Linked DNA regions of Struthio camelus. The protein of the gene in region 1 purifies or fractionates together with the protein of each later gene. This does not show direct contact. Links are inferred from orthologs where the notes say so. Each region holds a gene or a part of one and is shown in the gene's direction. Other genes may lie near its edges. The genes, in order: RUVBL1, EPC2, H2AZ1 and MRGBP.

Region 1 (7,193 bases):
GCACGAGCTCAGGTGTCACCCATTTTGCTTGGGCTGCCAGCTTACTAGTGAAACAGAGCAAGAGCTGTTCTTTGCCCAGACAACCAGAGGGATACAGGACAGAATTCATGTGCAAAAAACAGAATTGTTTTTGTTAAGGGTATGTAAGGAAGGAAGACAAATCCATGGGAAAGTCTATTTAATTCCACTGCTCACAAAATCAGTTGCATTTATTTAATAGCCTTATACTCTTAGCAGTGACCTGCAAGAAGGAGGGCTGTAAGGTGGGAACATGCGTTTGTTCTCATTTTTCTCCCTTTAGATACAGGAGAGACTTGTAACTCTCTAGATAAGGCAATTGTCCTTGGGTGGAAGGGAATTTACTTTTAAACAGCTTGCACTTTAATGGAAAAAACATAAGTTTGCTACTGTACCCACAACTTTGTTGGTACCACTCAAAACATACCTCTGTCAAGGAATCTGCAGTCTCTGGATCTGATTTTGCAAAGTATTATCTGAAGGCAGAGCTCTTTGCAAGATCAAGGTCTACACAGTACCTGTAAAATTAATACACTCATGTCACCAATAGCAAGGAGGAGAAGCTTGATAGAGACATGAGCACTTTTATGTGTTCAGACAGCTTCATTCTGTTCACTTAGTTTTAGAATTAGTTACAGATTTAGGAGTTAACAGAGAGCGTTTGTTAAGATTCATCACTCCTCCTTCTTTGATGAAGAGTAGAAAAAGCTTTCAGCTCCTTTTGTGGAGCAGGGAAGGAAATGACACACAGATCTTGATATTACTAAGATGCAGAGAGGAACAAGGCAAAAATTAAAGAATCTCAAGTCCTCTATTTCTCTGCATCTGTCACAAAGCAACGCGTTTATAGCATTTAGCTGTTTTCCTTGTTTTCTCTTCAATGTACCATTCCCCTTCCCAGTTCTTCTCTCTCCTATACTGAATTTCTTCCTTAAAAGTGTTCATTTTAATTGCTAACGTTTTTAAGGACTCAGGGGAGAAAGGGCAGGAAGTCAGACTTTTGGGATAGGGTAAAAATGTAAAGGTCATTCACACACTCACACACACATACTCTCTCTCACTCTAAAAATAATACACTATTTGACAGTTTCAGGATTCAGCATGTCCCATTGAAATTTGAAAGCTTATGTGAAACTAGGCCATGTCCTGTAACCTCAAACATTTAGTCTAGGAAAACAGCTCTCAAGTCTCCAGCTCCCACATCGGGTATCACATGACGTCTGTGCCAAATAAGAGACCTCAAACGGTTTGGCGGGGGGGGGGGGGGGGGGGGCCGGGAAATGTTGGTAAAATGAGTTGATTAAACCTGGGGAATAGTAGTTCAGACTGTTAGCGAAAGGTATTATTTTTCTGGTTAACTGGATAGTGAAATATTAAATTATGCTCAAAGCATCTATAACAGCATATGAGATGGACAGAATGGTCTCACAACCTACTTATGTTCCGTTTGTTGGCATGGACAAAGGAGAAAGATGACTCATGCCTTTCAACAAAATAATTTTACCCTCCCCTGCTCTAATAAGTATGTTAGCTATTCGAGATCACAAAAGTCACATTAGGCCGCAGTTCACTATTTCTCAAGCTGATGCATCATAACTACACATTAGACATCAACTTTAATAGACCATTTAAGCTATTTAAGTTCCACTCTAAGCTTTCCAGTAGTTCCACTTGTACTCTGCTCTTTCTGAGGAATAAACAATTAATCCTGTGTGGTCTAAAGGACTATTGTTTATTTTCCCTCACCTAAAGGTACTCCTTTCTGCCCTTTAACTGCATTTTCAGTATGGTGCTCAAAGAACATATGGAATGAGTAAAATAATCAATACAATAAAATGTGCCAAACCAATCATAGCTTATGGATGAGAGAAAGTCTCTTAAATTGATACCAACTCAGGCAAGTAAGAGGGAGAAACCAGCCTCACTTCTGCCAAACAAACAATTGTTTACTGTTTTTTTTTTTAATTGAAATATCAGCTTTTACTGCAAATGCAAACCCAAACCATTTTCATAACAATCTCTGCAGTCAGTACTAAAATTGTGCCTTCAACACGGCACTAGTTTTATTTACTGAACAGAGGTGGTCACTAGCAGCCTGACTGTTAGGCTCTATTCCAATTCTATTTTGGAAACATTATGTTGTTAGACAAACATTTAACACTTCTGTTTTTCAGTTTCCTCTCATGCTAAATGGCTACACTACTGATCTTTATCAAATACTCTGTAAACTGCATTAGTATTTCTAGAGTTCAAGATTCTTCTGCAGCATATCTGGTCTTTACACAAATGGAATATTTCTCTTCTTCCTCTAAATTATAACGATAGTTAACAGCAATTCTCTGTCCTTGCCCTCTACATTTTTATACTCAGAAATCCATCACAGAGAAACAAGGAAATGTTACCAAGTAAACTCTGGAACACCGTAGTCTCAGAAATGGCCTAACTGCAACTTCAAACAAGATAATGACTTAGACTGAAATCTGTCCATACACTCCATTTGAACTAATGGCTATGTATTTCACCCGCTACCAGCCCTTCTTTTTTAAAAGGAGGGCCATGCGTAGCAGAAGTCTTAGAGAATTTGCTATTTTTTTTTCCTAGAATCAGCAAAAACTTGAACTCTGACCGGACTTACCCACAACACTTGCAGCAGTTCAATGCACTAGAGAAATCAAAGCTGTTTATTTGCTCTTATACAAAAGAGAATTTGCAGTTTAGTATATTAGGCATTTGTATTCTGTGACTGATATAGCCCCAAAAGGATGTAAAGAGCCCAATAGTATACATACTTTTTTAATTACTTAAAGGATAGCTTATATTTATTAGGTTCAAGAGGAATTCTTAGCTAAACAGTCACAGAAGATGATACTCTTACAAACGTGTTGAACTATGCCATATGTGTGCAATTATATTCTAATTGCAATTTAAGCTAGATTATGTAAATATAAATTGATAGAACAAGTTATCAAAAAAAGAAAGCAGCAAATAACTTTTTTTCTTTTTTAAATGAATAACAACTAATGGAGGCCCCTAGACAAAAAGAAGATGACTAAAAGTGTTCACCAGGCTTTTGTAAACTCAAATACAACACCCATCGCCTCTAGAAGCCACTCTCATAGCTCATACTATCACCCAGCTGCTTTGGCAGTTCGCCCTGGCAGGCCACAGAGGAGCTGAACGGGCATTATCCCGTGGCACACCAGACAGCAACCCAGCATCTTATCGCACTCACCCGCTAACCTTGAACACTACAAGCACAGCCGCTGCTTTACAATCAAGTGCACAAACTACAACAAATTCACTGGAAGAGAATCTCCTTTTTTGGGACAGCAATCCCAACATTTACAAACGGGGATGATAAACACTAGTAAATTGCTGGAATAGCAGCTTCCGAGGTCCTGTCTCAGATTTCACAGTCAGACATGTCCATCTCAGGCATTTGAACCCTAAACAGCAGAGGCAGCAGTTACTGCTAGACCACTATCACTTGAGCAGTAGGGTATACAAGTATAAAAGCTGTAGCCTTGCACAGCTAAGGAAACAAGGGTAAACTCTGCAGCTACCTGTTGAGAAAATGAAGTATTTTTCCCTCCACTTCAGGAGATCATAAAGCCCAGAAAGAGGGCATTTTTGGTCTAGGCACAGCACACGCGAGCTGTATGAAAGCCAAGCTAAAACCACAGCTGCTTAAAGAAATGCTTTGGATATGCAGAAAAACATAACTATTTCTCAGTTAGGTGGAGAACCAGAACTCAGCACAAGACTCCCAGCAGACAAACACCGAGCAAGCCCTCCTCGAGGGGGCGGCCCGCTCTCGCAGCTAGGCCTGGCGCTGGCTTCGGGAAGGCCTCGCTCCCCTCGCCCGCCTGCCCCGTGGCCGGCCACAGGACCCTGCAGAGCCCCAGGCTGGTTAAGCGAAGGGGAAGGTGACTGCCGAGCAAAGAAAAGCTGAATTTCCCCTCCAGGCGTCACGGTACCCGCCCAGTCCCTCCACCGGCCCTGCCTGGCCCCGGCCCGGCTCCTCCGCGGTGCCCGCACCCGGCCGGACCCTCCCGAAGCGCCGCGCGCGGAAGCGGGTAGACGGACTCTAAAAGAAAAGCACCCGCCCGGGGTGACAAGCAGGCGCCGCGCCCAATAAGCATCGGGAGCGGCGGGGCGGGGGCCAATGGGGCGGCGGGGCGGGCCGAGGCGGCCGCGCGCCGGGAGCCTTGGTAACGCGCGGGCCGCGTGCGGGGAGTGCGGCGCGGAGCGGAGCGGCCCCCGCCATGAAGATCGAGGAGGTGAAGAGCACCTCGAAGACGCAGCGCATCGCCGCCCACAGCCACGTCAAGGGGCTGGGGCTGGACGAGAGCGGCACGGCCAAGCCGGCGGGCGCCGGGCTCGTGGGACAGGAGAACGCGCGGGAGGTGAGCGGCGGCGCGGCCTGCCCGGCCCGGCCCGGCCCGCTCGGGACGGCGGTCTGTGCGCGCCGGGTGCCCCTCTTCCCCTTCGTCCCGCTCCCTTCGGCGAGCGAGGCTCGACCCGGCCTCCTCCGCTTACTCCGCTGCTGCCTGGGAAGCGGCGCGGGCAGCCCTGGGCTGCTCCTTGTGCCGCTACTCTTGTATCACCCGGCGCCGCGGGCAGGTGACAGCGTCCCGGGTTTTAGGCGTAGAAATTGAGGTATGGAAAGCAGGAAAGCCCGCCTAAAGTCAGCGATTTGGTGCAGCTAGGGACCGGCGCTTCAGTTGCAGTCTGACGGCTGGCCCCGGGCCGGCGCTTTAGCCATTCTGTCTTTCTGAAAGTCACAGAGCCGTTTCTTGCTTCATTCTTAAACCTTAGTGTGTGTGTGTAGTCCTGGGAGGGACCGGGGGATCCTGGGACTGACGGAAGTCTGTGCTTCTACATCTGGGTTTTGTTGCTTGTGACTTTTTTCTCAATCTCTTCAGCAAATAAAATGATTGCAAGAAGTAGGTCTCCCTGATCTTGCTTCACTTTTATATGCTTAAAACTGAAGTCTTCTTTAATTTTAGTGGGTTCTCAAAGCCTAATATCTCTAAGTACTTTAAATAACACTGGAACGAAAGATACTATAGCAATGCGTTTCATAACAGTTTAAATGTTTACTTAATTTATAGGCATGTGGGGTTATAGTGGAATTAATCAAAAGCAAGAAAATGGCTGGAAGAGCTGTGCTGTTGGCAGGACCTCCTGGAACTGGCAAGGTATTATTTTTCTTTTGATATGGAGTAAAGTATCCCCAAATTATTTTAGGTCAATCTGTTGTCAAAACCATTGTAGGGCAGTAGTTGCAGGAGGTTTCCATCTACTGGAGGTTTTTTCATGATTGTATTGCCATGGTTTCTTGCTTTATGTTTTGATTTTTGCCATGGCTTCAACAGTAGCGGTATGCAGTGGTTTGTTCAGGCATCATTAGCGTGAAACTATCTTATATAGATTAACCAAACACATATGTAACGTGCATTCTGAAGAAAAGTCTTAGAAGTTAATTTAGTATTAGAGGCCTTAAAAGTTTTTGCTTTGTTTTGTTTTTCTCTTGTTATTTAACGCTTATTGCCTTTTGTACCAGATGTCAAATTCAAATGCCTGGTATTGTTTCTTTAAAGTGTTGTGCAAGTCCTAGATAAAAGCTACTTTATGTGTGTTGAATTTGTTTGGTGTGGGGTGGTAGTTATATGTGAGAAGTCTGTAAGTCAGACAGAACAGGAGTAGTATTAAAGTGATGGTTTGGATGAAATAGGATATGATGAGTGAAGTTGGTGCTGTGGAGAAAGAATCCTTTGTTCTCATGAAAAATGAAGTGCGTAATTTTTTTCCTTTCTTTTGAAGACTGCTTTAGCTTTAGCTATTGCTCAGGAACTGGGAAGTAAAGTTCCCTTTTGTCCTATGGTTGGAAGTGAGGTCTATTCCACTGAGATCAAGAAAACAGAAGTCCTAATGGAAAACTTCCGGAGGGCAATTGGTAAGTTTCAGAAAAAATAGAAGAATTAAGTATTTATATGATTTGTGACCCTGCTTGAGCAGGGGGGTTGGACTAGATCATCTTCAGAGGTACCTTCCAACTTCAGCCATTCTGTGATTCTGGTTTTGTTTTTGCCCCGTAATCTAAAAAGGAAAAGCTTCTAAGTGGCCTTGGTGGCTGTCAGATCACAGCCTGTTCTTCTTTTCAGTGCTCATCTTAACTGGGTGAACGTCTTCCACCCTTAATGGAGACGGTAGGGTTTTCTGCATATAAGACATAATTTAGTCATCATATCCCACAGTTATTTTGGTTCATTCTTCTTCCCCAGACTCACTTCTCAACTTCCAGATTCATCTCCTGGTTTTGTCTGTGGCTCTCAAAAAAGCTGAAAGAAAAGCTATTTTAGTTTTTTTATGTTAACAGAAATATTGGTAGACGGCAAAGTGCTCTCTCCTTTTTTCTTTAATGATTTCACCGTAGTAAGCAAACAGTCTTAAGCAGGGACTCCCAAATGGCAACGTTCAGCCTAACTTATTATTTCGGATGAGCACAAAGTGAGTTCCATGCCAGCGAAATAAATGCCTTAACCTAATATCTTCCTCAGCTCTAGAGGAAGACACAAGGCTTTTACAAGCTTGATATAGGTTGGTTAAATTTGCAACACAGCCCACTGAGTATCTACAATCTTTTATATGATTGCTGCTGACAGCTGATAAATGCAGTTAGAAGTGGACCTTGTTTATGAGGATTGCCTAAAGATAGCCTAGTTGACTTTAGTACTGAACGTATTAACAGTTAATTTTCTTGGCTTCTGTATCATTATTCCCCTCAGACTTCATCTAAGTATTTCATAGCAGTAAGGTGAAGAAATCTCTCAGTGGTGCAACCAAACAAAACTATTCCGTTGACTTTCATAAGAAAGCAATTTTCAGTAATCTCTGGTCTTCTAGTCACCATAAATCTGGCAGGGCTTGGGGGAGGGAAGCCAGACTCTAAGTAGTCTGCAGTGTTTCCTTGATGTGATGAAGTTCCCTGTCAGAGATTTTGAAACTTGAACCAACAGATGAAACTTATGCCATCTGTGTTGTCATTTCTAGAGATAGCAGTATTTTAAATCTGTCTAGTTAACAGCCAGCTACATTGTTAGTTCCCTGCATTCCCTGAATGTCAGTAGAGAGAAAATTCTAAACAAATATTGGTGTTAATGAAAGATCCA
Region 2 (7,942 bases), on another chromosome or scaffold:
TGCTTTTAGGCTCTCTTCTAGTGAAGCTCTGCTTAACTGTGAGATCAAAAATCTCTTATAATGAGGCTGCTGCTTCTGCTACCAAGACAGGAACCCTGAATACACAATAGTTGTGTCAATGACATCGGAAACATTTGCCTTCTGAGCACTGACTCATCATCATTACTTTCACAATCTTATCTTCAAACCTTCATGCAGTATGTATTTGGCGTGTTGCAGAGGACTAACACTCAAAGATAATTCTCTTATACGCTTGGTATCTAGATGATTACTTCTGGGCATTTACAAGTCAAGTCATTAGCATCCTAAAATTCTAGTTAACTTTTAATACTATACAATTAATTAAAGTTTCAAACACCCTACAAGACTGAACTGTACTATGCTTTTTCAGAGGCCATAAACCACTTCTGGAATCTGTACTTCTATACTGTCCGTGCAGTTTTTTATACTTCTTTCCACCTTGTACTTACAAGGAAACAGCACATATAAAACAAAGAACTACTAAATGTTCATGATACGTCATACTGCAATAAAGTACACTGAGAATTCTTAACGTAATTATCCATAAACAGTTCTTCTGCTTCGTGTAAGATCAGTGAACTGTAAATTACTAGCAAGAAAAAGAGAAAAAAAACTGCAGAAAGACCTCCACATATGATCCAGCCTTTAACCAACTACAGTGTGGCCAAGCATTCCTTGTGTTAAAAGTCGTTATAGAGAAACAGAAACAACAAGCAAGGATGTGCTGTGCTTGAGCTAATAAAGCACCATAGCCTGTATCTAAGGTATGATACATACCTTATATTCTAAAAGGGTGATACATACTTTTCCTACCATCTTATAACTGTATCCTAGAAGTTCTATGACATTATATATCATTGTCTATTACATTGTTAACTGGATACTTATAATAAAACGGATATCTTTTTTTCACAGAGACCAACAGTCTGGGAAGTCTGAAAAATAATCATGGCTAGAGCAAATATTACTATACTTGCTGGGAGCCAAACCATCAGTTCTTGGGTTTCTTTTTCATCCTGACTAACAGATTTCCATAGATTTCCACAGATATATGTGTGCAAATTAAATCTGGCTATTTCTGGTCCATCCAGCATACAAGTGTGTATATTTAATTGCATTATTTTACATAGAAAACATGAAGACAATTCAGGATTCAACTACTGAACAAATTATGTTGTTTGCGACATTGATTCCTTGATTTGTGCATCAAAAGTAAGCTATTTATCTCTAGGTCAAATGCAGCTGGCAATTATTTCTACAGCTAAAATTCTTCAGAAAATCGGTAATATTTTGCAAGGTGAAGAGATAAGAGTATGTACTAAAAAGATGTATGGTTCTGGCTTAAAGCTAAGCTACATAGTATTAATATAAGTTGAAGCTTTAGTTTTACTCATGTTCAGCTATGTGCAATGGCTTTTTTCACTATATAAAAAAAGCTCAGTATACCACAGGGCATCTTTTAAAAAAAACTTGCATTGTGCATAAAAATAAAATAATGGGACCAACAGCCACCTTGAGGGTAAATATGCTGCATCTTTTTCTGTTTTGATTTAAGCAGCGAAGAACGAACAAAACATGCACACAAAGGGGGTAAGGTTATTAGTATCTATGGTTCAATTGTGCTAACTGAAAAAGCAAAAAAAAAAAAAATCTTATGGCAGTGTATAAAATGCCTCTTTCTTGCTGGATGGGAAGCAGAAAGAGGAAAATCCTTCTTGTCAGTTAACTACTTGAGGAAGTACCTCAGAAGGAACTGCCTGTCCCATGCAGCTAGCCTAACCTTTCCAAGTGCGTGTTATTTGTACAGCAGGGCTGCAACTATGTAACTGACAACTAAGGAATCTATATAATGGGTGTTTTTACAGAAAATTCATGAACCATGAACTGAAAATGCATTTTATTTACTGACACCGGAGTTCATGCCCCTCATATACTTTGTCAACTACTCTATCCTTATTTTAATTTCTACTTTCTCGGGCTCAGGTGGTGGGACTACATTGCTATACAGATCAGCGAGGATGAACAGGATGCACAGTTTCCCCCCTCAGAAAGAGCCTGTAAGTTGAATTTGACTGAAGATCTGAATATTGGTCTTTCGGTGCTACATGGTAAGACTGAAAATCCAAAGCTCATGCAGAAGCACATTGCAATTGCTCTCTGAAAAATGGCAGCCCTCAGCTACTACCAAGCAACTGTTAATCTGGGGATATCAAATCAATTTTGGGTGGTGGAAATTTGGCTGCTTCTCAAATGGTGCTTAACTAAAATATAAATTCGAAACTGTAAATTACACAACTTCAAGTGTTTGTGCAAACAGAAACATTGTCAGAAGGCACTGTCAAAAATTAATCAAATCTCTACTGCAGAAGGAAGTTCAGAACCTGAATCTCTGTGGAGTAATTCCCATAACAGAATTGCTCCTGATTCGCAGTAATGGAAGATTCAGAGGTGCTGCTGTAGATCTCCTTGCCTGGCTTAAATACAAGTTCCGCATGTTTTCTACTGTTAGCACATGGCATTAACTCTTGAAACATGCTCCAAATTTTCAGCTGATGAAGAGTGAAGCCGTCCACCTCCTACACAGGTTTGGCAGCTATAAGCACATAAGATTGGTACTTAGCTCTCTGAACTGGTTTATGATATGCTTCTGCATGAAGGGTGTTAATTATAATCCAAATCAAGAATTGTCTCTTTATGAGTAAAAATATTTAAAGGAAATTATAAATAAGGGCAGTGTATCAGTATTGTTCTTTGTTCCTTTTCTCATAATCTTTGATGCTTCACTTGTTCATATGACTATTATTGAACATTAATCTGATGCTTTCATAGAAGTAGCTAACATAATTTCCAGATCTCTTTCCCAAGCTAATGCAGTTCTATGGGTTATGTAGGTAAAGTTATTGTCATTTCTTTTTCCTCTTGTGCATTATTGCACTTGATCCATCATCTCCTCTATTTCTCTCTCTAGTTGATGCAATTCTTTATTCTTCATTTTGTAAATGTTGTGTTTATCATGAACAGGAGTTGCATTTAAACTATATAATTACCAAATGCATCAGGTAACTAATAACAAACTCTAAATCACTCTGCAAAATTCAGTGACTGAACTTACTTAGTCAACGTTTTTTAAAATAAAAAAAATGGAATGTTATTCTCGGTTGGCATGTACTCCAAAGGGAAACATGCTCAAGTTTTATTTGACTAACAGTTCAAGCTAGTTCCAGAGACAGAAGATTGTACTGACAACTCCTCTAAGAGCTATAAGGAAGAGATGAGGAAAAGCAGCTGACCTGATCGCAAGGTGTCAGGATAATATGCAAGTGATGAGTATTTGAAGTACTAAAGACCTTTTACAAAGGGCTTTGCAGATTAAAGTCACTACACTGAATAGATGTGGGAAGCTCTGAAATGGTAGAAGTCTGTAGCCTTGTTCACACGGGCAGCTCAGGTTTATTCCTTCCATGTTGAAAGTACTCTTCGGTAAGCTGGGTGCCTTGTTCCTGTTTAGCTTAGTGTACTTTGCAAGTGGGCTAAACCAAATAGGAACAGGGCACTTTTATAGCAGAAGCATGCCAGCGCATACAACACACAGCTATCCTTAAGTAACTCCAGACGTTGACAAAACTTTAGTACAAAATTTCATACGTGAGAAATTTTGTACCAGGATTCTGCAGTATACGGACCTTCTGCCCCTCTTCAAGGCTAAGTCCATGTAAAGAGCAATACAGGAAATCGCTCCTGAAGGAAAAAAAAATCCTGGGCAGGCATGAGCTTATTTCTGCACTGTTAGTTTGTGACATAACTGAAGTCTGTGGCCTTTACCCTATCTTGTTTTGCACAGCACACATTTCTAACTGAAGCAATGCTTAAACAGTGAGCAATGCTGCCTTACAGGGATGTGTTGAAGTCCAAAAGGTAGCGAGGGAGCTGTGAACACAGCGAGGACCGTGTGATTCTGCGGAGCTGAAGCGCTGCTGCACAGCATGAACGCTGTCTCTCACAGGAGGCTGATCGTCCCTCACACAACGCTAATCTGAGGGAGGGCGGTTACGTGCCACCAAGTTAACTTATGTCAACCTAAGTGAATTCTCTTCACCACTGAAGATGTTTTTATTGCTAAAATCTGTTGTAATCCCAAAATAACCGATGAGCCCGCGTAATCCCACATAAAAATACAAAGAAGGATAAAGACGTTAAGTTTCACCGCCAGCAAAACTTGCTACGGCTGCACTCTTGACAGGTGTCACAGAGCTGCTGCTGGGGAGCCACAATCTGCCTGAGGAGGCTGAAGCACCTGAGATCATCTCTGAGAACAAGGAAATTTCGTCCCAGTGAGGAGCAGCCGGGAATATACTTCGAACGTACTACGGGAGTAGGGGAGTGCACGGTGCGTCTTACGCCTTCTCGGTGTCAGGCCGTTTCCAGAGGGAAAATTTCCGGCCGATCGTTTCGGGAATAAAACACCCGAGGTGTCAGCCTGGATAAGGCGTGAGAGTTACCTGGCCGAGGGGACGAGCTCGGGTCCTGCGTGCCACCTCCGGCTCTCGGGCTGGAGCCCTGCGGCGGGAGGCGAGCGCAAGCTGCGCGGTTTAACGGCCCCAACGGTCGGCGCGCGCGGCCACAGCGCCGCGCAGCGCCCACCCGCCTCTAGTGACGCACTCTACCCCGCCGCCCGAGCCGGGGGACGGCGGGTCCCCTCTCCCGGCTCGGCGGGATCGGCGCCGCTACCGTCCCAGCCCGCCTCAACCGCCCTCCCCTCACAGCAGCAGCAGCAGTAGCAGTAGCAGCAGCAGCAGCAGCGCCGCCGCCGCCGCCGCCGCCGCCCGCCTCAGGCTGCGCGCGCACCGCGCCTCCCCCCCCACCCCCCCTCCCGCCCGTTCCGAGCTCTCGCGTTGGCTGTCGGGATCGCTGGCCGCTTTGGTTAATGTCCGCCATGTTTGCCATGGCGCAGGGAGCGGATCGAGCGAGCCCGGCGCGGATCTAGGGCTGCGGGGCGTGCGCTGTGAGCTACGGGCGGCCCCGCGGAGAGCTGTTCCGGGGCGGCGGGACCCTCCATGGTGTTGCGGGCCGGGTGCGGGAGCGGCTGGGAGGCGGCGGCGCGGCCGCAGTGAGGGGCCCCCCCGCCCGCCCGGCCCCGGGGTGTTATTGTGAGGGGGAGACAATGAGCAAACTCTCCTTCCGAGCCCGGGCGCTAGACGCCGCCAAACCGCTGCCCATCTACCGCGGCAAGGACATGCCCGACCTCAACGACTGCGTCTCCATCAACCGGGCTGTGCCGCAGATGCCCACGGGCATGGAGAAAGAGGAGGAATCGGTAAGGGAGCCGCGCAGGGGGGGCACCATTGTTTATCAGACACCCCCCCTCCCCTCACGGGAAATAGGCCATTGGCATTCACCAAGCGCACTACGCACGCTCCCCGCCGCGGCGCTGCACGGCTCTTATGGGGCCCTGCGCAAAGAGCGCAGCGTAAACTGCTGTCCGACGCCGTAAGCGGGCCCTGCTCCGCCATCTTCTTTGCGTCCCGACTCGCGAGTGTTTTGATTAGTGGGGGGGGGGAGGCGGGGGGGGGCAGGCCTTTACGTTAGCGTAAGAAGGAGGAAGGCGCAAGAGGCGTCTCTGAATGAGCGGGCGAGCGTTGGGGCCGCCGCTGGCGTAGCGCGCCTTGGCTGCCGCCGCTCGCCTTGTGCGCGCGGCGGGAGCGGGCCGGGCCGGGCAGGGGGGGCCCCGCGAGGGGAGCGCGGCCGCGGCGGTGCGGCTGCTGCTGCTGCCGCCGCGGCCCCCGGGCGGAGCGCCGAGGGACGGGACGGGGCGCCGGGACAGGGCAGCGGCGTGCCGAGCCGGCAGGCCGCCCGCCGCGTTAAAGCACGCTGGTTGTGGCAGATGCGCTGCTAATAAATTCTTGGTAGTTTTTGGGAGAAAGCTTTTATAAGAACGCTTTTTGTTCGTACTTGGGCGGGGGAAGCGTTTCGTGCTGCAGAGTGTACGCCAGCTGTCAGGCACGGCAGCTGGATGTGTTGCATTAAGCATTATGCTTTTAAGCATTTAGATTTTTGGTTTTTTTTTTTAACTAAGCAAGTTTTAAAAATACGTACGCGATACTTGTTCTCCTTTCCCTAGTACGATAGAGAGAAAGAAGTTTTGTCCCCTTAAGGCAAAGATAAGTTTCTCGGGGTTTTCAAAGCATTGGTGCAGCACTTTGGAAGTGTATGCCCACAGCTCTGTTGCTTGTGTGTGCTGTTTTGTGTTACTGATGCTTAAACATCGACTCCTATGCTCCTTCGAGTTGTGTCTAGCTTAGACTTAGGTTGTTGCCCTCATGTGTCTGCACTTGCATGTTGAGCTGATAGTAAAGGCACCCTCAAGAGTTTCTTCAATGAATCCCTGTCTCCGCCTCAGCCAAACCTCTGTGCGTGTGGATTGGCTTTTCAGAGGTTACAGCTGTCAGAGGAAGCTTCGTGCCTTTCCGATTGGCTTTCTCACTTGACTATTGATATTAGAAGTCGTCCTTCTCTCTCTTACCGTTGGTTTCTTCTGCTGCTTACTTCACCGTATTGCAGTCTGTAATGCACTGTGATCAAAACTTCCAAAGAGTAAATCTGCCCCAGACTCTGAGAGCGTATTTGAAATGAGCAGCGATGTGATACTAATGCAGCAATCTTGGAGGGTAATATGGTTTTCTTAGATTTCAATAAAGTCTGCCTTGTAGTCCTCTGTTTGCATTTGATGTTTATTAAGTGTGGCTTATTTTAAAAAATGTTTTCTTGCTAACTCATATTTTAAATTTGTTAGTGGAAAAATTTCTCTAAGAGTTCAAGCAAGGTGCTTGTGGGCTGCTTAAATGACTGTGAAGAGGATTAGATTTATACTTTAATAAAACTGCTCTAGTGTTATACTAAAATGTTTCTTTCTGTATGTTTTTTTCCTGCACTGAAATGTGGCTGTACTTGATATATTATGCCATAATCTCAGAATGACATGGTCATTGATGCAGTATACAAGCTTAATGCTAAATACATCAGCCAAACAATATTATTAACAGATTGTTTATATTATTGCCATGTAATGACAGTTTCACTTAGGGTATAGGCCTTTCCCTGGGTTGCACAAATAATTTTTTGATGTAGATTTTTGTGTTAGTAGCACGTAAAGCACCTCTGGGAAAGGCTGCTGTTGTAGATGACAGTAGTTAAATATTCGAGGGCTTCACTTTAAACAGCTTTTATCATAGTAAGCGTTACTCAGATGTGATTTGGTCTATTTTGAGAGGGACTTTTGGAGGAGGGGTATATACGCATACTCCTTTCTGACATCTCAGTTACTTAGGTGTCTCAGGACCTTTTTAAACTCAGACTTCTGCCAGGGATACATCCTGTGAAAGGTGGCTGAACCATTAGGATAGCTCATGATTTGAACTTGCTGTACACAGACACAAAGCTCATGTTACTGTGGCCCCAGTATACTTCCATCCTTGGTGTGCTGCTATATCTGTAAAGCCTCAGTGAAAACAGAAGGATCTTGCAGTACAGTGGATCATGGGGTTAAGTGTTGTCTTCCAGATCTGATTTTTAACTGGAAATAATTATATATATTTACAGATTTCTCAAGTTTTAAAATAGCTAAGGTTGCTCTGTTTGTCTTGCCTGCTGTTCTTTACAACCTAGTCTTGCTGGTACAGGCATATGAACTGCTTTGTTCGTGATTAATATTTTATATATACAGAAATGCAGATTTTAGTCCATTTGTTTTTAGTGTGATTTATTTTTGGTGATAAAGTTTTTATTTAAGTAGTAGTATTGTGTTTGGAACGTGGATAGGGTTAAAGTTCAGGGAATTCTAATCATTGTCACCTGCTTCTTGTATTAATACTAAGGTTATTTGTATTAAAATGTCATAAATCACTGCTTTTGCAGAAGCACAATA
Region 3 (6,894 bases), on another chromosome or scaffold:
GTGTCAGGAGGATGGAGGTGGTAAGTGTTCCCTTTGCATACAGGGGATTGAAATAGGAGTTATCTGTGTTTATAAGTGGCTCTGAAGTTGCTTTTGGACTAATCCTAGAGTACTTGCATTAGTTTTACTTTATCTCTTTAAATAGTGTGGGGGGGGAGGGATTGCTGGTTATGTTGAGAAGCTTGTTAGCTAGTTTAGGGTGATTAGAGACTACTTTCATATACGATCCTATCTAACATATGTCTCACCTGATCTATTCAGTATCTATACATCCTTGTATTAGCTTAAGTAGCTACCTACCCTGATCTTTGATGCATGCTAAGAGGGGTTATGCTTGCTTTAAACACATCAGTGCAAAGCACCATCTTCAGTTTTATGCTGTCTTGCCCTTGTAGTGCAAGCTGGAACTGTAAGAGGCCTTAAGTGGCTAAAAGCATGCAGCTGAAGCAAACTGTCAGGGAGACTTGTGTGGGAAGCCAGGAATGTCTGTGGTAGGGATTATTTCCATCTGGTAGGAGTCCTCTTTGTTCTGTTTCCTAGGACTTCTGTGGACAGAAACCAGCAAGAAAATTAATTTTTTCCTACTGCATCCAGTATACTATTACCAGAGGGTCTTATGGCCTGGAAATGGGCTTCTGTTTCCTTTAAGGAAGAGGGTGAATTGATCCTTGCTAGGCACTTCAGACAGAACCCATTTTTTTAAACAGTAGGTTGAATGAAATCCTAACTTCTGCAGGCTTCTGTAAAAATCTTGATTTTTTTTTTTTAACATTAAAAAAAAAAAAAACCCTTAACTTGGAGTTTGTTGAAGGAAAATATAAATAACTAATGCTTCAAATAGATAGAGGCACCAGACAGCAATATAAAAACAAAACGCCAAATTCCTGAATGTAGGAGTGTCTGCTCTTAATGTGATCCTGCCTTTGTGCTTGTGCCTAGCTAGATAGAATTAGGTCTCTACCCTGAAGTGGGACTAGCTAGCATAAAATGGCTGAACTGAAACTTGGAGGTAAAGGGTAGTGATGATATGATCTGGGACTGTTTGAAGACTCGGGCAGAGTCCATTCTGCCAGTGCACTGAACACATGGCTCTGAAGAAAGAGCAGCTAAATGACAATGCTCCCTGGGACTCGGACTCCTGCTCGTAGGTAGCTGGTTAGCAACTAAAGACACCTAAACTATTAGCTCTTCTGTCTGTTTTGCTGATGTAAAATTGCTCAAGCTCATAAAGTGGTTGTAAGTGTCAACTTGATTTGAGACTCTTATTGCCATGGCTGACATTCAATAATAGGTACCCTGGTAATGAAGTTTAAATCTTTACTATTTTAGTATATAGCAGAAAAGACTTTGAGGACGAGCTCTAGGCATCAGCAGTTAGACATGTATCTTAGAACTCTGTATCTTTGGCTTGTTATAGATAGGAAGAAAGAAAAGTTGTGGAGAAGAATAGCCTTACATAAAGTTCATGTCAACAGCTCCATCTCCTGTTAAACTTCAGTCTGTAAGAGTACTGCTCTTGCTTGGACTCTTTGATATTGAGGTTTAAGGAAAGACATATTCACATCTGAAAGGGTAATTTGGTGATTTTTATTAGTAAAGTGTATGACAGACTGAGGTAGTCTTAGCTCTAAACAGCTATTCATTCACTGAAGTACCAGGACTTCTGCCTGAGCATGTTTGATGCTCCCAGGTGAATTAGACATCATCTAAAACTAAGATCTATCATGTTTTGGAATTGCACCATGAATAGTTAGCTTTTTAGAGCTGAAAGAGAAATTAACAGACAAAACCTACAAATCATTTCTGAGGTTAAATGGCCAGTCTGCTGCTTTTTTTCTGCAGCAGAAATAACTATACTGCACTGGAAATGGCACCTGCCAAAAAAATGGGGCTAAGGCTTCATTTCAGGGCAATATTGGCAGGGTTTTGAAGTGCCCAAGCAAAGGACATCTGCACTGCATTAATTTAAAGTTATACTTGGAAAGAACTGAATTCAGAATGAATGGTTTAACTACAGTTTGAAATATTCAGTAAGATGAATGGGTCTGAAGCAGGGTTGCCCTTGGTAATCATGTGGCTCTTACATAAGACTGAGGTAAAAATAAAAACTAGTGCGTGTGTGCACAGTTGTTTGACATGCTGGCACTTCCCCTCCCCCAGTGTCACAAGCAGTTGATGTGACTTCATCTCTGCTGAAACCACATTGGTTGGCCTCATGTGTTTGCCAATATAGCAATAGCACCTCATCCCAAGTCTGAGATGTAACCTCATTCCGTCTGCTTCTAAACTGCTTTGTACACTAAGTCAATTAACTTCATTGAAGTGTTTCAGCTGGCAACATGATAAATTAAAGTGTGAAGCACATCATGTTCAGGCTCTCAGTCGAAGAACTGACTGAGAATGATTATCAAATAGTATCTTTGTATAGCATAAAGACCCCCTTATTTGTAGGCTGCTCTGTAATAGCACAATCTCTTCCATCACCTTAAATTATACATTGTGAGAGTGAGTATACTTTCAAGTAGCTTCATGTGACTTATATTCTCTCTGAAGGACCTCAACAGACTATGCTTCTTGCAGAAGCTGCCCGGCACCATGCATTTGCCATATAGCTGTAACAGAACTATGGTTGTCTTTGACTGATGTTTAGTACTTCCTTTATAGGGTCTTGTCAGACTTCCTGCTCTTGGGTGTCCAATGGGACATGGCAATAATTATTTATAAGTTTAGGCACTACAGTAATATCAACTAGATGAGTTCTGGCAAACACTTCTCATGCAGGTAACCCCACCAAGTCCTTAAACCTCATCTGCTTTCTACTATGAATGCCACATTTCCTAACCTCCTCTGATCCCTGTCATCTCCTGCAGCTGCAATAATGGTGATGGCAGCTGGAATAGGAGAAGCGCTCTGTGTGCTGCTAAGGGTTGCACACAATTGGCTTGCCTTTGCTGCCAAAAGCAGCAGGTGAGATAGGAAACACTGTTGCATGAGGGAAGTGTGGGGGGGAGGTTAACAATTTGATTTATTCCTGTTCAGAAGTCTGGGGAGGCCTTCAGGACTTGATTTCATGTCTTGATTTTTTTTTTTTTTTTTTTTTTGGGGGGGGGGGCAGGTGGGAGCCAGGTGCTGCTGTATTTGGGGTGGGGAAGGCTTGTTGTGCGCACACACGAGCATGCGGATTATGCAAGGCTGCAGCTCTGACTTCCTGATAGAGAAGGAAGGTGTCTGCAGTCTGAGGTGACAACTGAGTGGGTGCCATTCAGATGGCAATTTTACATCAGAGCACACTTCACATATCTTGTTAATCTGACTTGAGCTCCTGAGAGCTTGAAACCTAATAACAGCGACTGGTTAAGCAATGCTTTTACGGCTATGACTCTCCCACCTAGCAGCACGCAAGATGCTGAAAAGGCTTTTCAGAATCTCGCTGGCTAATACACAGCTCATTACCTGACAGGCGCTCAGCTTCTCTTTTAAATAGCTGCATAAAGCCATCAAGCACAGCTCTGCCGGGGCGTGCCGCCGAGCTCCCTCGGGGAAGGCGTCTTAACCGCGCCGAGTAACTGGAAAACGGGGGCGGGGGTGGGGGGGGGCACGACACGCACGGTTCAAAGCCGGGCGGCCGTTACCCGGCTGCAGCGGCGGTTGGGGCCGAGGCCCGCGGTTTCCCCGCGCGGGCGGCTCGGAACCCCCTCCCCCAGCGGAGGGCCGCGCCCCCCCCACCCCCCGCGGCGCAGGCACCGCCGGCCGCCCCGAGCGGGCGGGGCCCCGGCACAGCCCGGCATGGCGGAACAGGCCCCCCCCCTGCCGCGGCGCGAGCCGTAGGCTCCTGCTCCTTTAAATGTGGGCGGGCCCTCTGCGGAACGGCGCCGCTCGCCAGCGCCCCCCTCAGCTCTGTCGTAGCGAGGTCGGCGCGGCCCCCCCCGCCCCTCCCATTGGTTGTCGCCGTGCGAAGGCGCCCCGCCCCAGCCTGCGGCGATTGGCTGGCGGCGAGGCTGGGGTTCCCGGATGCAGGCGCGCTCGGCGGTTATAAAGCGCCGGGGGAAGGCGGGAGCGGGCGCAGTTTGAATCGCGGCGCGTCGGGGCAGGTCAGCGTTGTCGCCTGGGCTCGGTGCGTGCGGGACGCTCTTCTCCTCTGTGTCCCCGTGCGTGGCGCTACGGTCCCGTTCACGATGGTGAGGAGCCGCGCAGGGGAGGGGGGGGCGCGGGGCCGCGCCGCCTCGGCGATGGCAGAGAGCGAGGCGATCCGGTGGCGGCAGTTGGGAGGAGGTGGGAGCACGCGCGGGGGAAGGGAGCGAGTGAGCGCGCGCAAGCAGCGGCAGGCGCTTTACCTGCCGGTAGGCGGGGGAGGGGCGCGCGGAGGGTCGCACGCGCACTGGTGCCGCCGGGGAGAGGGAGTGGCTGCGGCGCATGCGCCCGGCGAGCGGCCTGTGCCGCTAGGTGTAGCGGGCAGAGCGCACGCGCCTTGGCGTAGCGCGTGCCGCCCTGCGGGAGGGAAGGGCCGGGAGCGCATGCGCGGGTAGGATGCCGCCGCTGCGCGGTCCCTGACTGAGACCTTGGCTGCGGTCCCTGACAGGTAGGGGAGGAGAGGCGGGGGATGTAGCATTGCCGCGGACGTATCTGTTCTTACACGTATCTCTTCTTTGTTAGGCTGGTGGTAAAGCTGGGAAGGACTCTGGAAAGACCAAGACCAAAGCGGTGTCCCGTTCTCAGAGGGCTGGCTTGCAGGTGAGCAGAGACTGGGGCATGGGCAGATGGAAGTCAGGTTGGCTTTATGCTTGCAGGTGGTACCTTTTGAAATCTGGACAGGCTGTGCCTTCTGTCCATTATTTGGAATGGTGTAAAGATCTGTTTGATCCTCAAATATGTCAGTGTTTGGCTCAAGCATGCTCTGGACTTGCTGTACATCTGTGCTGGGGAAGAGAATTGCCTTGCGGTTGCTACTGCTAGTGGTTTGTGAAGTGAAGTTGCTGATGTCGTCTGGGGAATCCAGCTAAGGACACTGTATACTAGGTGTTGAAATGTAGTCTTCTGTGCTACACAGCATCTCTGGCACTAGAATTCAACTAGCACCAGTTGCATATGCTAGACAACAGAATCCCTGCAGCCAGAGTATTTCAGAATAGTGTTTTTCTTCTGTTTCTATGGTGACAGCCTACTCCTACTTCTCTTATCTTTCAGTTCCCTGTTGGCCGCATCCACAGGCATCTGAAGTCAAGGACCACCAGCCATGGGCGTGTAGGAGCTACAGCTGCTGTGTATAGCGCGGCAATCCTGGAGTACTTGACAGCTGAGGTAAAGCTGCTGCAAGGGGTACAAGCAAGTTGGTCAGTCCAGCTGAAATGGTGTAATGACTGGAGTCTCCTGTATTTTGCCAGTTCAGACTGGGTTATGAACTCTTCATTTGCTTTAAGCCTGTTTTGTGAAGTACATGCTTCTTGAGGAGACCATAAAGCATGTATGGAAATTTTTGCTCTGGATTTTATGCAGAGCAAGTAGCTGTGGCTTATGTTGAAGACACAAATGGTGAAGTACTTCATAAAATGTGCAGTTACAGCATGTTCTGTCTGCTGCAAAACATCATTCTTTCCTTGGGGGAAACTAAATCCAAAGCTCTAAAAGAGGAGCTGGCTAAAAAAGACGCATTGTTTGATATCTTTTTGTCGGTAACTATACAGTTGTTGTAAAGAAGGAAATTGCTAAAGCAATGCAATTGGTCTCGTGTGACTTGCTTAACTCAATCTGAAAATGTTCTTGTCTTCAGGTTCTTGAGCTGGCAGGAAACGCATCCAAAGACTTGAAGGTGAAACGTATCACTCCCCGTCACTTGCAGCTTGCAATTAGAGGAGATGAAGAATTGGACTCTCTCATTAAGGCAACAATTGCTGGTGGTGGTATGTAACTTGCTTTCTAACTTTGTGTTAAGTGACAAGGAGTCCAGTAGTCTCAAAGGTTGTTTAATCTATTTGAAGTGTAAAGTTTAGCCAAATCTGATAACATGGAATAACTTGATCTTAATTCTTGGTATTGTTCTCTCTTAGGTGTAATACCACATATCCACAAGTCTCTCATTGGAAAGAAAGGACAACAGAAAACTGTCTAAAGGATACCAGGATTCTGTGTTATCTCAGGACTCTAAGTACTTAATTGTCCAGTGTTGGTGATTCCAGTGGACTGTATCTGTGAAACACAATTTTGCCTTTTTGTAACTTTGAGAAGCTAAAGCTCACCGAGCTTTCTAACAAACCAAATTTCTGCATTGAAGTCTTAACCGTATTTAAGTGTTACCATGGCTTCAAAGAAGCTATTGTATTTGTAGTGGGTTTTGATTGAGCTGACTGTTTTTAGATCGGTTTGATTAAGTAAAGGAAATGTTTGGTTTTGTACAGACTTTTCATCCACTAGAGTGGAAATATTCAATAAATGTTATATCAATACTAATTGTCTCATGTGCTACTGGAAAACACTTGGTCTCAATAATGGAGCCCTGAAGAAGAGTAGTTCCAAGAACACACAGTTGTGACAGTTCTCCAAGCTGCGAAGTACTGCAGGTGTCCATTTTCAAATGGAAACATAGTCCTAGAATTCTGCACTTAGTAGATACAGCCATCTCTGAGTGACATGGTGTGCATGCTTCACCTCATGAGGTTGAAACAGATTCTTAATAATTGAGCCTGATGCATAGAATGACCTTTTAGAAAGGTATATCTGAGGGCTCTGCTATTTCGGGACAGTGTTACTTGCTAGTAACCTTCCAGCTATCGTGGATGAAGAAGAATGGGAGCTTTTTGACTGGAGGCTGAAAATATAAACTTCTGCCTGCATATTTCTATAGCTTTTCTTCTAGTGAAGGGCAATGGACAAGTCTGTAAAAGCAATGAGAAATGTACT
Region 4 (7,808 bases), on another chromosome or scaffold:
CTGAACGGTATTGCTGATGTATCTTCACTGCAAGCCAAATTTCAAACTAAGCTGTAGTTACCATAGCTTTCTGTAACCACAGCACTACCGTTTGCCAATGCATCGGGTCCATCCTAGGAAGCAATCTTACCAAGATGTTGTACCCTAATGAAGCTGCAGGGTATTTGTGAATACATCCAGACATTCAAAGTAGAAATGGAAAAGAGGGCCCTAACATACTCTCCCAAATCACCAACTTGCATATTTCATCAAGGTTTGCATGTGCCTGAAGGTGCTTTGTGAAAATCTGCTGCCACCCTCCACCACAGTGGAAGGCGGAGTGGAAAGGGCTGTTGTCATTTAATTATCAGCTAGTCAGGTTTAGTGCTTGTCTGTTGTCCTTCTGGAGTCTCTTTATGTTTATGTAGTTTCTTTTTTATTTTTAGGAGTAGTATTTTTGTTTTGAAAGATGAATAAAAAATAAAGTCTCAGAGAAAAAATGATCTGGAGAATCCTGATCACAACACTGAAATTAGCAAAGAAGAGAATCTCGGTAGATTTGTGTTGACCAGCTGGGATAGTGCGGCTTGAATTTGGTATGCAGTTTGGGTGCAATCAATAAAAATCACCTTCAATGAACCATGCCATTAAGTCTTCTGGTGCTGATTCAGGATAACCAGACAGTAATGAACAAATTCTTGTGCTCTCCTGGTTCATCCGAAATTTACTGACTCTTCTGGATGCTTCTTTGCAAGCCTGGGACAAGATGGATTTATTAAACCGAAAAATCAGTAATATGTTTTCTCCTTTCCCACTCCCCACTCTGCACTGGGGTATTTTGAAAGCTTAACAGTAGCAGTAATAAACGCCTCTGTGCGTCCTTAGAGATGATTATTTGCACTGTTTTCAGCCTATTTTTCTAAGGCTTGCCATCTGATGCCCATCTAATATCTAGCCTCTCTCTGCTGGGAGAATGAGCACAACAGATCACAAGGGAAAAGTTCAGTTCAAGAACATATGTTTCAGCAAATAGAAGGTATCCTCTGTCTGACAGCTGCTTCCCTATTCTTTGCTCTGTGTGTGTGTCTGTTTTCTTACTTTGAATTAAATGCCATATTTTTGCCCCCAAAAGAAGTCATGGAGGCCTACTCTGAAGGAGAACTCCCTGTTCAGTGTTCCTATTTGACACAATGAAATACACTCGTTTGCTAAGAACTTGGGTGACTGCAGGAAAGCTGGAGAATATCTCCCAGCTGCCAGAAGAGGCAGTGCTGTGCTAAAGGGCAGGATCATAGGACACAGATGAGATTAGAAGTCCTCTTTTCAGAAGGAATTGAGAAAGGAGCTCATTTTTGGAAATGCTGAAATACGTCACGGCACTGAGATCACTTCCCTTGTACGAGTGTTTACTGAACGGAGAGTAATTTGGTGCAGGATTGGGCCCAGAATTCATGAAAAAGGTGCATGTACTTGTGCGTGTAAAAACTAGGTATAGGCATAGTATAGTAACTAATTACCCAGCCTGTTACTAAGAAAAAGCAGCTGCGGCTAGTGACACACATCCAGCATTAGGTGGCAGTGACTTCCAAGCACATGCCTCTGCTCTGGTACTGAGCCCTGTCCAAGGTCTCGAGCAAACTGTTTGATAGTTCTGTTTCTCAGCTTCGGTAAAATAAAGCTGGTAATGCTGTCTAGGGGTCCCGTGAGGTTCCATTTACCTACATCCGAAAAAATCTTTGGGATTCTGTACTGAAGATGTTCTAAAAACGTCTAGTAAAAGCTACGTAGCTGGGTTTAATGCAAAAGGATGTAGATGACCTCCTTTTTATAAATGCTCATGTGGCGTACCGAAAATTATCCAGTGTTCAGAAAGAAGTTTTTATTTCATTAAGGGCACTAACACATGGTGTTCTAAAATAATGACAGAAATAGTTGTAGCCATATTGCTTATCCCAGAAATCCAATGTTTCTAGAGAGAATGCCAAATGCTAGGCATATTTCTCAGTTGTTCTGACTGCGATGTCTTATGAAATATGAGATCATATCTCCCGAGGGCCATAGCATAATCTAGCAAAGGGCTGAGCACCTTTTGTTGCTGTAATAGTCAGCCAGATTTCTATGGTTAAGAAGGATCTAAAATGTAAGAAAAAAAGGATAAGAACTGAACTGTGCATGTCCTACATTGTTGGTATCTGCTTAAAATCAAAAGTAAAGTTTAAGATTGAACAAAGGAAGGAGGGAAAAATTGTTACGATCTGAAAAATCTGTTCAACAAGGGGGAAAAAAAAAACTTTTATGAAAATCAAAAATAGAAAAATTTAAATTCTGGTCCCAAGCCATGTCGTGGCTGCACATGACTTTATGATAGACTTGCATATATGTTTTCTAGAGGCACTGAAAGAAACAAGAAAATTTAGACACAAGGAAATGTAATTATTTGCCATTGAAATAGAATAGCAATCAGTTTATGCATATACTCTTCCTGCTGAATTAACATTATTCTACTGAATTAAATTATTTTCACATGCTATTGTACTTTCAGAGGTAGCCATATGTTTTTCACATTTCGTTTCACATGCTACTTTTTTAATCATCAGAATTTAATGACATAAAAATTGCTATCTGAGTTGACACAATTACTCCCTCTTGATGATAGTCTTTAAGTAGAAACACAATTTGACAGATGAGAGCGCTGAAGCTCAGTGTTTCACTCAGACTTAAAATAATCTCTTCCTGCAAAACTTTGAAAATTAGTCTATGAAGGAACAATTTGTCTGCTCTGTAATTTATTTGCTTTTCTTCTTTCTTCTTCTTTTTTTATGCCTAGAAACATTTGTATGAAAACAGGAATTTAGTTGTTCAGGAACTCATTTACTCCTGCTGTGCAGTCATCACAGGAAATCATAACCTTCTCTTTTGATAGCAAATTAGGACTAGGTAGCAACATAGATCAAATAAACATTAGAAGATTAAACAGATCTAAGAGCCATATTAGATTTAGTACTTTATTAGATTTAGAGGGCTGCATTTAACTGGTAAAGTATGCACAGTTGATTTCAAACTCAGCAAAATCTTGTTAATCAAGTATTTTTGGCTTCAAAGGAGGAAAGTATTGTGAAGTCTGAGCTGTTTAACGGCAGGTTCATCACAGCCAGAACATACATACAGAGATGAGAGCAGATAGAAAAAGTATTTCTGGAGTTTCCTACAGTCTTGAGTGGGAAAAAGCCATTCTTGCAAGAGCTCTGTCAGTCCGGACAGAGCTCTCACAAAAACAGTTATTCCTGCAAAATTTCAACAGCATGTAAACCAGACTGGGGTGAGAGATTCCTTTCCATTTTGAGACACCAGCTGGAACCCGGATGGAAATAAGAATTTGTCTTCAGGAATTCGTATCCAAGACTCTTATCGTCAAAGGTGCCAAGACTTCAGATGTGAAGTTTTGGATTAAACCCATTTCACATATTCGCTTAATGTTAGATTAATCTGTTTTAGGTTTAAGCATTACATCAGGCCCCAAAGAATGATATGAGTTAGTTAATTCTTTAGGTATCAAAGGTACAGAAAATTTTCCATTTCAGAAAATTTCTGTTTTCCCTTCCAACTTTTTATTATTAGGATACTTTGCACGAAAACAACGTCTCTTTGCTTGTGAGCTTCTTCCCCCACTGTTTTATTATTCACTCGGAATAGTCATTCTTTACATATGATGTCATTGCTATGTGCTATTGAAGTTACTTTAATGTCACAAAAAGGATTAAGATTTCAAGTGATGAGTGAGCAATAGGAAAACCTGATCACCTAAGCAACAGAAGTCCTGTTTCATGCTTGTGTGTCTAATAATACCTAACAAGGCAAAAAAAGAAGAAAAAAAAACATATCACAGAGGGAAAGATATATACTCTTTTTTCCTAAATGAAGTATTTTTTCAATGCCTTAAAAGACTAGCAAAGCTAGTGGGTTCCACATTTTAAAGCATTTAAGGCGTAATTATTTGTTAAGCATCAACGACGGGTTCCAATAAAATGATCCTGTTGTCACAATGATTAGCAGTTTGGGGGCTTGGTGCATCATTTGGGATCTTTCCTTAGTGTAATCCCGCGTTTCGGGCGGACAATGGGAACGGGGGTGAGCGCTGGGGTGGCCGAGGCTATGGCGACAGGGGGGTTCGGTGTCAGGTCTGCCGCCAGCTCTGTCTCTAATCTTCTTGTTCCACCTTCCCCCTCTTCGTTTATCTCAAACAGCAGCTCTTCGGGTCACTTAACGCTGAAAAGCCTCTACTGTATCTCTGGTTCCTCTGCGTTTTACGCCAGCGTCAGTATTACTGCTCTAGGGTTCTGCCAAAACGTCGGCAGAACAGGGCCGGAAAGGCCGTTTGGGGCGTCCACCCTGCCCTGCCCCACGGCCGACACAGGAAACCCTAAAGCTTCTTTCTCGCTTGGTGAAAATCTTTTTGGGGACGTGAGGCGGCCTAGCCCGTCCCTCGGGGCAGAGCCTCCGCTGGCCGCCAAGCGGTGCCGCTGGGGGCACGGGCGGCAAACTCCCCTCGAAACCCGCCCCTGCTCCACGAAAGCGCCTAAAAGGGGTATTTTCCCCTCAGCCCAGAACCACCCCAGGCCGCCTCATGCCGCATCGCCTCAGGAGCGGGGCGCCGCGCGCCAACCGCCAACCGCCCTTCGCGCGCGCCAACCGCCCGCCCCTCGCGCGCCGCGGCCCGGCCGGCAGGAGCCGCTGCGGCGGCGGCGGCGGCGGCGGGGCGCGGGGCGGCCGCCAGGGGGCGGCGCGGCGCTGCGCGCGCGGCGGCGCGGCCATGGGCGAGGCGGAGGGCGGCTCGGCGGGCGCTGTGGAGAAGCCGCCGCTGCCGGCGGCGGGGCCCGGGGCCGCGGCGGCGGTCGCGGCCGCCGCCGCCGCCGTTGCGGCTGCCGCCGCGGCCGCTGCCGCCGCTCCGGAGCCTGGCGTGCCGGCGGAGGAGGCGGTGGTGGTGTGGAGCCCCGAAGTGGAGGTTTGCCTCTTCCACGCCATGCTGGGCCACAAGCCCGTAGGTGAGAGCAGGCCGCGGCCGAGCCGCGGGCTCGAGTAGCGGCGCTGGCCGGGGAGGAGAGCCGGGCGCCGGGCGCGGAGCGGCGAGGGCCGGGCGGGGGGCGTGTGAAGCCCCCCCCCCCCCCCGGGGCTGGCGGCCGCCGCCGCGCTGCGGTGCTGCCCCTAGCGGCCTCGCGGGCCCGGGCCGCTCCCGAGCGAGCGGCGGCGCTGCGGGGACGGAGGCGCCGGCCCCTCCCGGGCTCGGAGCCAGCCGTCCTCGCTGCCCAGCTCCCTCGCCTCCCGTCTTGCTTATTTTCACTTATTTCCCTTTTATTTTCACACTGGCAGCTCTGGCTGCGGCCCCGTGTGAAAGTACCAAGCGGGGCACCCGCTGCCCACCTCCAGAGCAGCGCCTGTAAGGCAGAATGAAATACTAGGCTGCCCGGCTTGTCGTGCGTCTCCCTGCCGTGCTGTATGATTCCCCTCATTGTTGTAATAATGATTTTTTTTTTTTTAATTTTCTGGCACAAGTAATAACTGTCAGTGTTAACTTCTCTGAGTTCTTGCCCCAGGTGTGAATCGCCACTTCCACATGATCTGTATCCGAGATAAATTCAGTCAGAATATTGGACGGCAGATTTCCTCTAAAGTGATTTGGGACCATCTGAGCACCATGTATGATATGCAAGCTCTTGTGAGTATAAAGTGATGCAGGAGTGCTCTTATTTCCTGTAGTTCAGGAGTTTTGATAGGACAAAATCACTCGGCCTCTCGTGGTACCAAGAACTAGGTATCATGTGGTAAGTTGATGAGGATTTCCCTGTATGAAGGTACATTAGGTGGGAGATAAGGGAACCTGCAGTGTTTTTGTTTTTTCCACACTCGGTGCTGACTTTGTGTGATTTTTGGTTGCCTGAATGCTGATTCGGCAAACATTTACGTAGATACTTAACTCTAAGTGCCAAATAGGGAGGATATAGCGTGCATAAGTAAGAATTTGCCAAGATCAGGTCCCAGGAGTACCTCGTCATGATTGCATATGTCTTGATGTTATTATCTGGTTTGACGTACGGAGCCTCCTGATTCTCCAGGGTCTGAAGTATTTTGTTAAGAATTATTTAGCTACTAATTGCATATAAAGTAGAATTTGGAATTGCATTTCTAAATCCAAACTAAATGTTTTATCAAGATCACTCATAGAAAGCTTTGTTTTCTTCCTAAGCACGAATCTGAGATTCTCCCGTTCCCCAACATAGAGAAGAATTTTGTTCTTCCTGATGAAATGATTCAAGAAGTGAGAGAAGGTAAGAAGTCATAGCAACCTTTTATTCCTGGCTGACCTTAATCTCAGTTCAGAACAAGTAGCTTAACAGAACTCCAAAAAAAGAAAATAATAACATGGCAATCCAAGGCTGTTCTTGGCCGTTCACCAATGGTGGTGTGTTGGAGGCATCAAGGAAAAGAAGTGTTAAATAGATACGACTTTATCTCATGAATTTTTAATTTGCTGACAGGGAAAGGATCACACTGCTTGTGCTGTTCATATTGTCAGTATCAGCCTCTGTGACTGCACAGTCAGAGACCTGCTAGTGGGCTATGCAAGCCTTTGGTCTTATTCCACACAGTATTTCTCATATTATTAAGTTTAGTATGGATTGGACGTTACTAATGGACAAACAGGTTCCATTTTTACCATTTAGATGCAAATTCTCGTTTTAGGTATACGTGAAAGATCCGCATGCTTCACTGATGCCTGTATGCAGAATGAGAGGCAAAGTGCGGTTGTAGTGTAAAATGAATAGTAGGTTATTGTGGGTGTTTTTTCACTTTGTTGCGACTACTCTAGTATCATGTCTGACCGTAATTTTTGCTGAAATAGGTGATCTGCAGACTTTTATATGGTTCACATTGTAAGATCTTTCAGGAGCAGGATCTATGGAACTGATGAAAATAAGATTTCTGAATATAATTTGTATAAATTTCCTGTATACAATTAGTATATAATAACATTTCTGTGATAACAATTTTCTGTACATGTAATGAAATAAGGCAGTTAAGTAGCAATTCAGCTAATGTTTAAAAGTATGCTCCAGGAATATTCTCTTACTGAACATCTGCATGTACAATAGCTAGAAAAACTTGCTGCTTGGCCATGGACTTTACCAAGTACTTCTTGTGCTTGTGTAATCATTGCATTGTTAGTGTTAGGGTATTGGCTTTTTTTTTAAATATGGTTCATATAGCTTCCTTTTAAGAGCATTACTATTTTTTTATGTCTGAAAACAGAGATTTTGATTGAAAACAAAAACAATATTAAATGTTCAGAGATATTTGTAAAGATTTAGTGTGGTTTCATTGCACTGTAAAATCACTTCTTCATGTTTTTATATTCTTAGGATTCAGCTACCTGATACTTCCAAAGCTCACTCCCTCCAGATGGGTGTGTCTGTGTTGTCTAATCCAGTAGAACTCTCCACCAGCTTGACAGAAATCTTAGATTAAATAGTGCAAGTCAGATTGTCAAAGCTTAGCTGTATGTCTGTTATTTAGTACTTGTTATCCAAGGTAGGAGCTAGGAAGCTCAAGCATCTGCACCTTTAATCAGGCAGTTATAGGGGCATGTCGAACCACAGTCGAATGCTTCTCAGTCATTAGGTGCAATAAACTTTACACTAATAGTTCAATACAAAATCATAATAAATCTGAGGTACAGCAATATGTTTTGCCTACTTAGCATTTCCTAACTGTTCCTGTTAATAATTCCATTGGAATTTTTTGCTGTGTGGTGTCTGCCATGGTATCTTGTTCAG

Evidence for each region.
Region 2: the proteins of RUVBL1 (region 1) and EPC2 purify together in Homo sapiens (co-immunoprecipitation; 3 studies listed by BioGRID and IntAct, counting the BioPlex papers as one, with this or other methods). This does not show direct contact. The link is inferred for Struthio camelus from reciprocal best matches to the Homo sapiens genes RUVBL1 and EPC2.
Region 3: the proteins of RUVBL1 (region 1) and H2AZ1 purify together in Homo sapiens (affinity purification with mass spectrometry; 6 studies listed by BioGRID and IntAct, with this or other methods). This does not show direct contact. The link is inferred for Struthio camelus from reciprocal best matches to the Homo sapiens genes RUVBL1 and H2AZ1.
Region 4: the proteins of RUVBL1 (region 1) and MRGBP purify together in Homo sapiens (co-immunoprecipitation; 6 studies listed by BioGRID and IntAct, counting the BioPlex papers as one, with this or other methods). This does not show direct contact. The link is inferred for Struthio camelus from reciprocal best matches to the Homo sapiens genes RUVBL1 and MRGBP.

What each region holds. Positions count from the first base shown.
Region 1 is NC_090955.1:7,417,566-7,424,758, forward strand, and holds the start of RUVBL1 (ruvB-like 1), read left to right. Parts: upstream 1-4,182; 5' UTR 4,183-4,283; coding exon 4,284-4,424; intron 4,425-5,132; coding exon 5,133-5,219; intron 5,220-5,844; coding exon 5,845-5,977; intron 5,978-7,193. UniProt on the Homo sapiens protein: Possesses single-stranded DNA-stimulated ATPase and ATP-dependent DNA helicase (3' to 5') activity; hexamerization is thought to be critical for ATP hydrolysis and adjacent subunits in the ring-like structure contribute to the ATPase activity.
Region 2 is NC_090947.1:43,602,517-43,610,458, forward strand, and holds the start of EPC2 (enhancer of polycomb homolog 2), read left to right. Parts: upstream 1-4,922; 5' UTR 4,923-5,182; coding exon 5,183-5,335; intron 5,336-7,942. UniProt on the Homo sapiens protein: May play a role in transcription or DNA repair.
Region 3 is NC_090945.1:27,839,272-27,846,165, forward strand, and holds H2AZ1 (histone H2A.Z), read left to right. Parts: upstream 1-3,874; 5' UTR 3,875-4,175; coding exon 4,176-4,178; intron 4,179-4,334; coding exon of another isoform or gene 4,335-4,415; exon of another isoform or gene 4,416-4,639; intron 4,640-4,653; coding exon 4,654-4,731; intron 4,732-5,184; coding exon 5,185-5,298; intron 5,299-5,767; coding exon 5,768-5,897; intron 5,898-6,044; coding exon 6,045-6,106; 3' UTR 6,107-6,444; downstream 6,445-6,894. UniProt on the Homo sapiens protein: Variant histone H2A which replaces conventional H2A in a subset of nucleosomes. Nucleosomes wrap and compact DNA into chromatin, limiting DNA accessibility to the cellular machineries which require DNA as a template.
Region 4 is NC_090959.1:16,133,721-16,141,528, forward strand, and holds the start of MRGBP (MRG/MORF4L-binding protein), read left to right. Parts: upstream 1-4,789; coding exon 4,790-5,021; intron 5,022-5,558; coding exon of another isoform or gene 5,559-5,570; coding exon 5,571-5,692; intron 5,693-6,220; coding exon 6,221-6,302; intron 6,303-7,808.